3 linked regions of the Macaca fascicularis genome follow. The protein of the gene in region 1 interacts with the protein of each later gene in a biochemical or structural test. Links are inferred from orthologs where the notes say so. Each region holds a gene or a part of one and is shown on either strand. Other genes may lie near its edges.

Region 1 (3,674 bases):
TTAAATTGTAGCCACATTGTTTTTGTAGGGAAGTTGCTCAGTTTATATACACGGAACACGAAGGGTTGCATTCTGATCAGGACACCAGTTTCATTTAAGACCCCTATACCAAAAGGTACTTAGATAATCCTCTTTAATATGCATATACTATATTGCTTTGTGCAACATATTGCTTTGAGCAACAAATGATGCTAATTTTCTTGCTACTTTGATCCTCTCTGATTATTTTCTTCAACTCCTAAAAGTCTAAGTGAATACGATGAAAGAATACCCCCTGTAAAAATTGTTATTTTACATATTTTTCCTCAGAGTCAAGAATACATGTTTTTAAAAGACATTTAATAATGATACGGGTTTATCATTCTCTATCAAAAATAATTTCATTGGACATCATGCCAATTTTCTTCTTAGGGTCCCTCGACTAAATAGTAACTTTAAAAACATACTGCTAGTTGGCTGTATTTTAGTAGGTCAGCATGCACACCAAAAGTGTATTAAGGTGGACTGCTCTATTTATTGATTTGCCATGAATCTGTTAAAGGCTCAAGGCAATTGTCTGCGGAAGGGGGCGGGAGGGCCATACATGATCGAGGTCATGCGCATCTAGCCAATTTGTAAGACGATCCTGCCGCCCTAAGCCATCAGCAATCCTTAGCATAGGGGCACACTCACGCATTCCTGTCAAGTCATCTTGTGAAAGGCTGCCTGCTTCCAGCTTGGCTTGGATGTGCAACCTTAATAAAACTCACTGAGGTCTGGAAGAAAATAGCAGATCTGAAGCAGATAGGGTAGAGGAAAGAGTCTAGAATATGTACACGCAGCTGACTCAGGCAGGCTCCACGCTGAACGGTCACACAGAGAGGAAACAATAAATCTCAGCTACTATGCAATAAATATCTCAAGTTTTAACGAAGGAAAATATCATTACAGTGAAATAAAAAATTTTAACATTTTAGAACAAAGCTAACAAATGGCTAGTTTTCTATCATTCTTCTTCAAACGCTTTCTTTGAGGGGGAGAGAGTCAAACAAACAAGCAGATTTACCTGAAATAAAGAACTAGTTTAGAGGTCAGAAGAAAGGAGCAAGTTTTGCGAGAGGCACGGAAGGAGAGTGCTGGCAGTACAATGACAGTTTTCCTTTCCTTTGCTTTCCTCGCTGCCATTCTGACTCACACAGGGTGCAGCAACCAGCGCCGAAGTCCAGAAAACAGTGGGAGAAGATATAACCGGATTCAACATGGGCAATGTGCCTATACTTTCATTCTTCCAGAACACGATGGGAACTGTCGTGAGAGTACGACAGACCAGTACAACACAAACGCTCTGCAGAGAGATGCTCCACACGTGGAACCGGATTTCTCTTCCCAGAAACTTCAACATCTGGAACATGTGATGGAAAATTATACTCAGTGGCTGCAAAAAGTAAGTGATTGCTTTCAGTTTCTAATAGCACGGAGCTTTTTCCGTTCTTGCACTGCAGCTAACTTAAAGTTCCTTAGGGGCGCATTTGTGTGTTTACCTTTTGCTCCAGGGGGGCAGTGTTTGCAATTGCAAGACGGCTGTCTGGGTTTGGCTTCCTGGGTAAGCCAAGGTTTGGGGGCTTGCGCAATCCTATGAATGTGTGGGGGCACCCCGTGTGTGTCTAGCCCTGGTAAATTTTATGACATTTCTGGTTTCTCTTGTTTAAAGTTCAGCATTAAGAGTCTTTCTGTCAAAACTCTACCTTAAGAAAGAAAGCATGTACCTCTTAAGCAAGTTGGTGAAAAATAAATAATCGTAATGACTATACTAATTAATAAGATCAAATCGATTTTGCACCAGAAAATTTTGTGCCACTGGGGTGGCAAATCATCACAAAGTATTTGTTTTTTTTTTTTTAACCTTTAGAAAAATTAACATGAAGTGAGAGTAAATGTAAAATATGATATTTGGTTGGAGAAATTGTATATTTATGTAAAGGGAACCGTTAATTTCAGCAAGTGGTAGAATAGTAGAGGACTGATTTCTGTTAAATATTTTTTCTTCTGTCCTTGAGAAAAAAAAATTTAAAAAGATACGTTGTAATGTGAACTGTCAGAAAGGGCTTGCTTGCTCACAATGAGAACACGCTGGCTGTTGAGGAAGACATGCACCTGCAGATTTGGGCTGAACGCAACATGTAGTCTCTACTATATTCCTGAAACACCTCCCTTCTCAGGGCATTGTAGTTACAGAGACAGTACCTGGCAAGTTTAAGTATCCATGTTATTTGATGAATGTTAATGTCGAGTATGAATGTAAACTCAATTTATAGAAATCAAATCAAATAGTTTATCCAGTTATTTATCTACAAACCATTTAAAAGTTTTTGTTGAAGATATGCCTATTAAATTATGAACACACTTCTGCAATTCATTCTGTCTTTGCACTCTGTTTAATAATAGGCAGCCGAGAATAAGTATATTCCACTGACTATGCCACTAGAATGGAGGCAATGTCCCAATTTGTGAAAAGCTTCTCTCCCTCGTTAATGGATTAACTTGGTACATATAAATAGGTATGCAATCAGGCTTCTTTAAGTTAGTCTGTAAACGAGGCAATCCCTTTAAAAAGATAAAAGATAGGGAAAGGACAAATGCTCTATTTTGTTCCTGTGTGATCACACTCGCTTAGGTCATCGCCTGCTGAATCATGCCAAGTAATAGTTATTCTACTTTTGTCCACTAGGGACTGAACTAAGATCACTGTTATTTTATTTGACACATTAACTGGAACTTAGTAGTTCTACAGTTTCCAAACCTGATATTGTAATCTTTCTATTACAGACTATAGGACTGTAATACGCAATCAGTAGGTAGGTAGAAGAATAAAAAGCAAACAGAACTCTCGGGTTTTTTTCAATTGTAGCTTAAATTTTAGGCACTACTTTCAATAGTAGTTTATAATAGGATGTTTGTATTTTTCTTTGGTAAAACTTATTTCCATTGTAAACAAATGATTTTGGTTGAATAGCTTGTTGTTATTCTTCAGTACACCATCCATATAGTTTTTAGTGAGAATCCAATCATATATTAGTCTGGATTCTTTGAGGGAATGGGGAGGAAAATTTAGTCCCAAGTTACCCCGAATGATCTATTCTACCAAAAACGTAATGTTTTGTTTGCTTAAAACGTATAATCAAAATAGTGATTCAAACATAGTAATGCATATGTCTTGTTGCTATGCAATTATTCAGCAGTGACAGGGTAAACACATAATTCTGCTGGACTTAAATCATGCACGTGTTTCATATGTTAATTTATTTTGCAAAATAAATTTGATTCTTGTTTGCATTGTTCTTGGTCAATGATTGTGGGATAGCTTTCAGATTATAGCCAAGAATAACTATTAAAATGTTCTTTGGTTACATTGACCCTTTCAAGTGTAAATATCAAGCTGAATATATGCTGAAAACGTCCCTATTGGTATGAGTCAGAGCAGTGTGGCTTGACTATTGTCAGTTTAAATTTGCATATCTTTTGTCGTTGTCAATGTGATTGGTTGGAGGATCAAGAAACCAAATAAATGCATTCAACAAAGAACTTGCTAAAGGCTTTCATAAGTTTCCCTTAATTAGGAGTTTTCTTCACTCCAAGTTCTAAAATTCATGTGATGTATTGATTCTGATAATAGAAATGGGAATCTTTTTACTGTA
Region 2 (3,343 bases), on another chromosome or scaffold:
AGTGCCTGGACTACAGTAAGTGCTCAATGAAAATGTTAGCTTGGCTGGCTGTGGTGGCCCACGTGTGTAATCCCAGCACTATGGGAGGCCAGGCAGGCAAATCACTGGAGACCCAGAGTTTGAGACCAGCCTGGGCAAGATGGCAAGACCCTGTCTTTACTAAAAATACAAAACATGGCCGGGTGTGGTGGCTCACATCTGTAATCCCAGCACTTTGGGAGGCCAAGGCGGGCGGATCACGAAGTCAGGAGATTGAGACCATCCTGGTTAACACAGTGAAACCCCGTCTCTACTAAAAATACAAAAAGAAATTAGCCAGGCGTGGTGGCGGGCGCCTGTAGTCCCAGCTACTGGGGAGGCTGAGGCAGGAGAATGGTGTGAACCCGGGAGGCAGAGCTTGCAGTGAGCTGAGATCTCGCCACTGCATTCCAGCCTGGGCGACAGAGCAAGACTCTGTCTCATAAATAAATAAATAAATAAATAAATAAATAAATAAACAAAACATTAGCTGAGCATGGTGGCACATGCCAGCTATAAGGGAGACTGAGGCGGGAGGACCACTTGTTCCTGGGAGGTTGAGGCTGCAGTAAGCCACTGCACTCCAGCCTGGATGACAGGGTCTGTTTCAAGAAAAAAAAAAATTAGCTCTAATGGTGTTGAGCCCAGGGATGGGGGCAGTATGAAGGAGCTTCACTGGAGCAGAGACAACAGCTGGCCAAGGCCAGATACTTACAGAGTAGACACATACAGGGGGGCTGGGAGGTACTGCACATCTTGGGTAGGTAGAAACTAAACTGCTAGGGGCCAGGGCCTAGAAGGTAACTAAGTGCATCCTTCTTATTTCAGCTGGTCCTTTGGGGTCCTTCTCTGGGAGATAGTGAGCCTTGGTGAGTTCCTAACCCCCATTGCCCAGAGTGCCCCACCTTACCCCACGTGGAGCCCTGGACCAAGAGCACTTTGTCCCCTCCTGCAGGAGGTACACCCTACTGTGGGATGACCTGTGCCGAGCTCTACGAAAAGCTGCCCCAGGGCTACCGCATGGAGCAGCCTCGAAACTGTGACGATGAAGTGTGAGTCACCCCATCCTTGAGCTCCATGACCCTATCTCTGTGATGAGTGACCTCAACTTTGATCCCTGTGACCCCATCACCCCAGCTGGACTGACTCCTCATCTCAGCAATGCCCCCTCGCAGGTACGAGCTGATGCGTCAGTGCTGGCGGGACCGTCCCTATGAGCGACCCCCCTTTGCCCAGATTGCGCTGCAGCTAGGCCGCATGCTGGAAGCCAGGAAGGTGAGGAGACTGGGGCTGAGGTGGCGGGTTGGGCTCACAGAGTGCTCCAGAGTGCCCTCTCAGAGGTGCCGTGACCCTGTCCCAACCACACTACCTGCCCAAACTCCCTCACTGGGGGCTGTCACCACAGCTAGGCTGGGCCCCAAGATGCAGCCTGCCTTTCCAGCCCTCACTGGGTTAGACACCAGGCCCTTCCAAAACTCTTTCAAGGCCACTGCTTAGCCCCAGCAGCAAATCCCTCCCTTGAGTCCCAAGTCCCAGACTGCTTGCCTGTCCTCTGCTGAGGCCATCAGCCCATTCTCATCTGGGACACCTCTCCCTACCTGCCAGAGCCAGAGCAGAGTGCATGAATGGTCACTAACCAAATGGATGGATGGGTAAATGAGTGATACAGTAACTGTATGAATGAATGAATGAATGAATGGAATTAGTGGATAGATGATACAATAATCATATAAACATGTAATTCAATAACTGAATCTACTAACCATGTGAATAAGTGAATTATCAAATAAATATAATGAAAAATATATCAAAATTAGTAAATATGAAGAGTTCTTCAAGTAAATTAATGATTAACTATCTTAAGAATGAGGGAATGATCAAATAACCATATAAATGGGTGAGTCATCTAAAATGGCTTTTGAACAGATAAGTTACTTAATGAATGAATGCATAAGCCAAGAATTCACTGAAAGAGTGCATGTAAAAACCGTCCTCTAACAGTGGCATTGAGGGCCTCTCACCTGAGGCCCCAGCTGTGGCCTGATGCCTTCACTGCCCTGGGCTGGTAAAGGCCACTCTTGGCCATGGGGCCATCTTGAGTCTCCAGAACAAATCAGTGTCAGTTCAAATGCCCCAACCACATGGAAGTCAAAGAGCTTGCGGCCAGATTCATCCCTATTCCTGGCCCCCACTAAAGCTTGCTCTGCCCCTAGGCCTATGTGAACATGTCGCTGTTTGAGAACTTCACTTATGCGGGCATTGATGCCACAGCTGAGGAGGCCTGAGCTGCCATCCAGCCAGAACCTGGCTCTGCTGGCCAGAGCAAACTCTGCTGTCTAACCTGTGACCAGTCTGACCCTTACAGCCTCTGACTTAAGCTGCCTCAATGAATTTTTTTAACTTAAGGGAGAAAAAAAGGGATCTGGGGATGGGGTGGGCTTAGGGGAACTGGGTCCTCATGCTTTGTAGGTGTCTCATAGCTATCCTGGGCATCCTTCCTTCTAGTTCAGCTGCCCCACAGGTGTGCTTCCCATCCCACTCCTTCCCCAACACAAACCCCCACTCCAGCTCCTCTGCTTAAGCCAGCACTCATACCACTAACATGCCCTGTTCAGCTACTCCCACTCCCGGCCTGTCATTCAGAAAAAAATAAATGTTCTAATAAGCTCCATTCAATGTCTGCCTTTTACTGCTGGTCAATCTTGGGGTGAGGGGTGTAGTTAAACCCAAGAGACAGAAATTGGCCGGGCACGGTGGCTCATGCCTGTAATCCCAGCACTTTGGGAGGCCGAGGCGGGCAGATCACGAGGTCAGAAGATGGAGACCATCCTGGCTAATATGGTGAAACCCCATCTCTACTAAAAATGCAAAAAATTAGTTGGGCGAGGTGGCGGGCACCTGTAGTCCCAGCTACTCGGGAGGCTGAGGCAGGAGAATGGCGTGAACCCAGGAGGTGGAGCTTGCATTGAGCCGAGATAGCGCTACTGCACTCCAGCCTGGGCCACAGAACGAGACTGTCTCAAAAAAAAAAAAAAAGAAAAAAAGAAAAAAGAAACAATATATAGACATGGCCTCTACCTCGCTGGATCTTCAGACTTATACGGGAAACAAACATTAAAGTATACAAATTATTGTTTTTGGCAAACTTTTTTTTTTTTTTTGAGACAGTCTCGTTCTGTGGCCCAGGCTGGAGTGCAGTGGCGTGATCTCGGCTCACTGCAAGCTTCGCCTCCCGGGTTCACTCTATTCTCTTGCCTCAGCCTCCCCAGTAGCTGGGACTACAGGTGCCCGCCACCATGCCTGGCTAATTTTTGTATCTTTTTTT
Region 3 (3,656 bases), on another chromosome or scaffold:
CAATTTCTAGCATATTCAAATTAACTAGAGACTTGTGAAATGTCAGTAACTGTGGGATGAATCACTGTTTCCTATTTCAAAATTGTCTTAGGTGCTCACTCACTATTCTATGTAAGTTTCATCCTCATTAGAATGATACACTCTCAAAATCACACTACCAGTATCATATTTATAGAATTAAACAAAAACTAGTTAATAGTTACTGGGAGTCAACTTGCCTTGGATGGTTGTATGAAGTTTGATGGAGGGTCAATGCTGGTGGTGGTAGTAGGGATGTGAGATTGGCAGGGTAGGATTTGATCCCTGTGGGGTCAGGAAATCTGAGGAAGGAGGATATGAATGAGAACATCTCATTTTTACCTGAAAATATTTGTTAATATGCTGTGTTGTCATTGGCTGATCATGTATATTCACAAGTAAAATTAATACTTCCAATTACAAAGTTTGTGTTGGTTTCCAGCCTAGCAATTCCATCTTGTCCAGGGGTAAGAAGTGGAGTGAATTAGATTTGGCATATCACCCCAATTATATGTTAAAAATAATATATGTGTGTTATGTTTTCCTATTGGAAAACATTTACATGGGGAGTATTTGACCCTTACAATGACTTTTTGAGGAAGGTAGAGTAAGAGTGATTATCACATTTAACAGATGAGGAACCTGAGGCACAGAAGAGGGTAAGTGACTTGCCCAAAATTATGGAACTAGTACGGCATGGGGATGGATTAGGATTCTAATCCACATTTTATTTCTATTTTTTTTGTTTTTTCTCCAACCACGCTACAAATGTCTTCCACTTGTCTCTTTGGATGGGCAACCCACTGCTTCAAAGCAACTATGGTTCTAGAGGTTCTTTAGTGGTGATATCCTATTTCTAAATTGTTTAAGGTCTGGTTAGTGTTTCCTAAAGCATTTTAGAAGCTATTTTAGAGTCACCCAGAGAACCTGCTAAAATGTAGATTGCTGGGTCCAGACCCACTGAATTTAAATCAAAGGTTTATTGAGCTATCCCTAAGAGTGACTCCTTTCAAGCATAAAATGGATAAGTTGGTAGATGCAAATTTATGATTTTTAGTTGGCACAAAAATTATATTCATTATTTTTCTAACAATCATCTAAAAGACACTGCTACTTTTTGTGACAGGCTTAGAAGACCACTGGTGTATGAAGTTAAATTTTTTTGAGCCACAACTATACAAATATAAATATGTGATGATAGTAATCTGAAAATGTTGGTATTTCTATCACCCCTTCAATCTCCTGTGGGAAGAAAGACTATTGTATATTTTTATAAAACTATACAAAATACTTGGTACTGGATGTAAAGAAAGTTAAGACATACTGATGATTAATTGTGATTTTTGGATACTGTACCACCTGCTAGACATAGAACATAACAATTAGATTTGGAAGGTTCTAAATCCAATACCTAATTCTCATAAATTGCCATAGTGCCCTAAAGAGTAACAAAGGGGAATCAACATAATGAAAAGAAGAAATTTAAAATAGAAAGGATGTACCTTGAGATACTTCTCAAAGGTTCTAATTTGTTTATAAGTAGTAACTTTCATGTGGAAAAACAATGGTGTATGGAATGAAATAGCCTACGTCTACTATTCACCTTTTGGGACGAGTACAAAACCCTTAAATTTTTGAAGTTTCAGTTTTCTCATCTCTAAAATGTGGATCATAAAAATCTCAGTACTGTGTGGTTATACAAGTCAAGAGAGTGTCTGCATGTGGAAGCACATTGTAAATAGCCTCATAAATGTAAGTTCAGTTACTATTAAGGACAAGAGCTCAAATCCATTCTTTTCCCGGATGAAATAGGCTTAACCTTTATCGGGTCATGAACTTCCCTTCTAGCCTGTGCCCTTTAGAGTTTGAGTGAGAATGTAGTGATGATGCGGTGCCTGCCATCTCCACATGTAGAAAACCTCAAGGCATCTCTTTCTCATCCTGCCTATGTCCCTGAATGGAATGTGATTCTACTTTTCCCCAAATCCCTATAATACTTTGTCTACTAAAAGTTATTAGCACATTTTCTCATGTATACACTGACCTGCCAGTTGCTCCATAAATTTAGGGCAAGGACAGACCACATGACACTAAGACTATGGACTACAGAGCCAGACTGCCAGGAGGTGAATCTTGTTTCTTCTACTTAACAGTAGTGTCACCATGGCTAAGTCACTTAATCTGTCCAGACCTCAGCACTTACAGAAAGACTGCTATGAAGAGGAAGTGAGTTAATATATACAAGAGCCTAGATCAATGCCTGCCATATTGTAAGCACTATATAAATGCCAGCCCTCATAAGCTTTCCATTCTTCCCAGCATCAAGAATAGTAAGCACAGGTTTGTGGAATAACAATTTCTAAGGCCTTCATTTAGTGTCAAGATGACTAATAGATGATATGTGTGTTGCCATTTCCCTGACTGTGCCACTCTTTCAAGTCTGCTTGGAGTCCAGTAGCCACTACCAATTGATTGGAATACGATCTGAGGAAACATCTGTTTGCCTTTCATGGTTTATGAGGGGACGTGAACCCTATCTCAAAAGCATAATGATCTAAGACATGGTAGTATATCTTAATTGAATCTTTTTTCTTTTTAATTTCTAGTTCTTCCTCCTCAACCAGAAAACATCAAGATTTCCAACATCACACACTCCTCGGCTGTGATTTCTTGGACAATATTGGATGGCTATTCTATTTCTTCTATTACTATCCGTTACAAGGTTCAAGGCAAGAATGAAGATCAGCACATTGATGTGAAGATAAAGAATGCCACCATCACTCAGTATCAGCTCAAGGGCCTAGAGCCTGAAACAGCTTACCAGGTGGACATTTTTGCAGAGAACAACATAGGGTCAAGCAACCCAGCCTTTTCTCATGAACTAGTGACCCTCCCAGAATCTGAAGGTTGGTTGAATGGACAGGTATTTATGTAGGATTATCGTGCAGCCCTCTAGGCAGCTGGTTTATCAGGACAGGCCTGTGAGATGAAAGCCTATGAAAGGTCGGTGGTTGAATGGATAGGCATTTACAGAGAGGTCCTTAATATCAAAATGCCTCTTAAAAGGATCCCTGTTGGTCCATTTTCTATTGTTAAACCTTAGAATAGATCAGTCTTTCAGCATACCCCATCCAGCAATCTAAGAAGAAAGCTCTAAGGAATATGAATTTTAATTCCAAGGAGAAGAATGTGGGAACTGCTTATAGAAGGCAGGCTGCGCAAGAGCTCCAGTAGGAGGCTCCAAGAACCATGTTTCATTCTTCCTCAAACACTCCTCTTTTAGCTTGGATGACACTGTGCAATTCTGAGTCTTCTTCTACTTTACTGATGCAGGTTATTAGGTCTCCATGTCCACCACTAAGCCCAACCCCAGAAAGAGTATGTTCTTTGAACTAGAGATCCTCTCAGGATGCCATACTGTGCCCATGGTTTGTGATTGATAAAGTCTGTTGAGTGTAATTAAGTGAACAAGGGCCCCATGTGGGTGGAGCTGCAGCAGGAGGATTGACTTCAAGTCTATGCAGAGGCACCTCCTGGCTCTCTGTGTTGTGTACAATGTGTGCCAGAGAATGTGGATGGAGGCAAGTTAGAGGCAAATTTTGAAAGTTTATGATTTGGATTAGAGTCTATTTTTACAG

Evidence for each region.
Region 2: the proteins of ANGPT1 (region 1) and TIE1 interact in a biophysical measurement, tested with the Homo sapiens proteins (2 studies listed by BioGRID and IntAct, with this or other methods). The link is inferred for Macaca fascicularis from reciprocal best matches to the Homo sapiens genes ANGPT1 and TIE1.
Region 3: the proteins of ANGPT1 (region 1) and TEK form a complex in vitro, tested with the Homo sapiens proteins (6 studies listed by BioGRID and IntAct, with this or other methods). The link is inferred for Macaca fascicularis from reciprocal best matches to the Homo sapiens genes ANGPT1 and TEK.

Annotation. Positions count from the first base shown.
Region 1 is NC_088382.1:117,071,495-117,075,168, reverse strand, and holds the start of ANGPT1 (angiopoietin-1), read left to right. Parts: upstream 1-767; 5' UTR 768-1,126; coding exon 1,127-1,423; intron 1,424-3,674. UniProt on the Homo sapiens protein: Binds and activates TEK/TIE2 receptor by inducing its dimerization and tyrosine phosphorylation.
Region 2 is NC_088375.1:191,448,323-191,451,665, reverse strand, and holds the end of TIE1 (tyrosine-protein kinase receptor Tie-1), read left to right. Parts: intron 1-846; coding exon 847-887; intron 888-973; coding exon 974-1,070; intron 1,071-1,193; coding exon 1,194-1,293; intron 1,294-2,231; coding exon 2,232-2,303; 3' UTR 2,304-2,689; downstream 2,690-3,343. UniProt on the Homo sapiens protein: Transmembrane tyrosine-protein kinase that may modulate TEK/TIE2 activity and contribute to the regulation of angiogenesis.
Region 3 is NC_088389.1:71,763,523-71,767,178, reverse strand, and holds part of TEK (angiopoietin-1 receptor), read left to right. Parts: intron 1-2,624; coding exon 2,625-2,924; intron 2,925-3,656. UniProt on the Homo sapiens protein: Tyrosine-protein kinase that acts as a cell-surface receptor for ANGPT1, ANGPT2 and ANGPT4 and regulates angiogenesis, endothelial cell survival, proliferation, migration, adhesion and cell spreading, reorganization of the actin cytoskeleton, but also maintenance of vascular quiescence.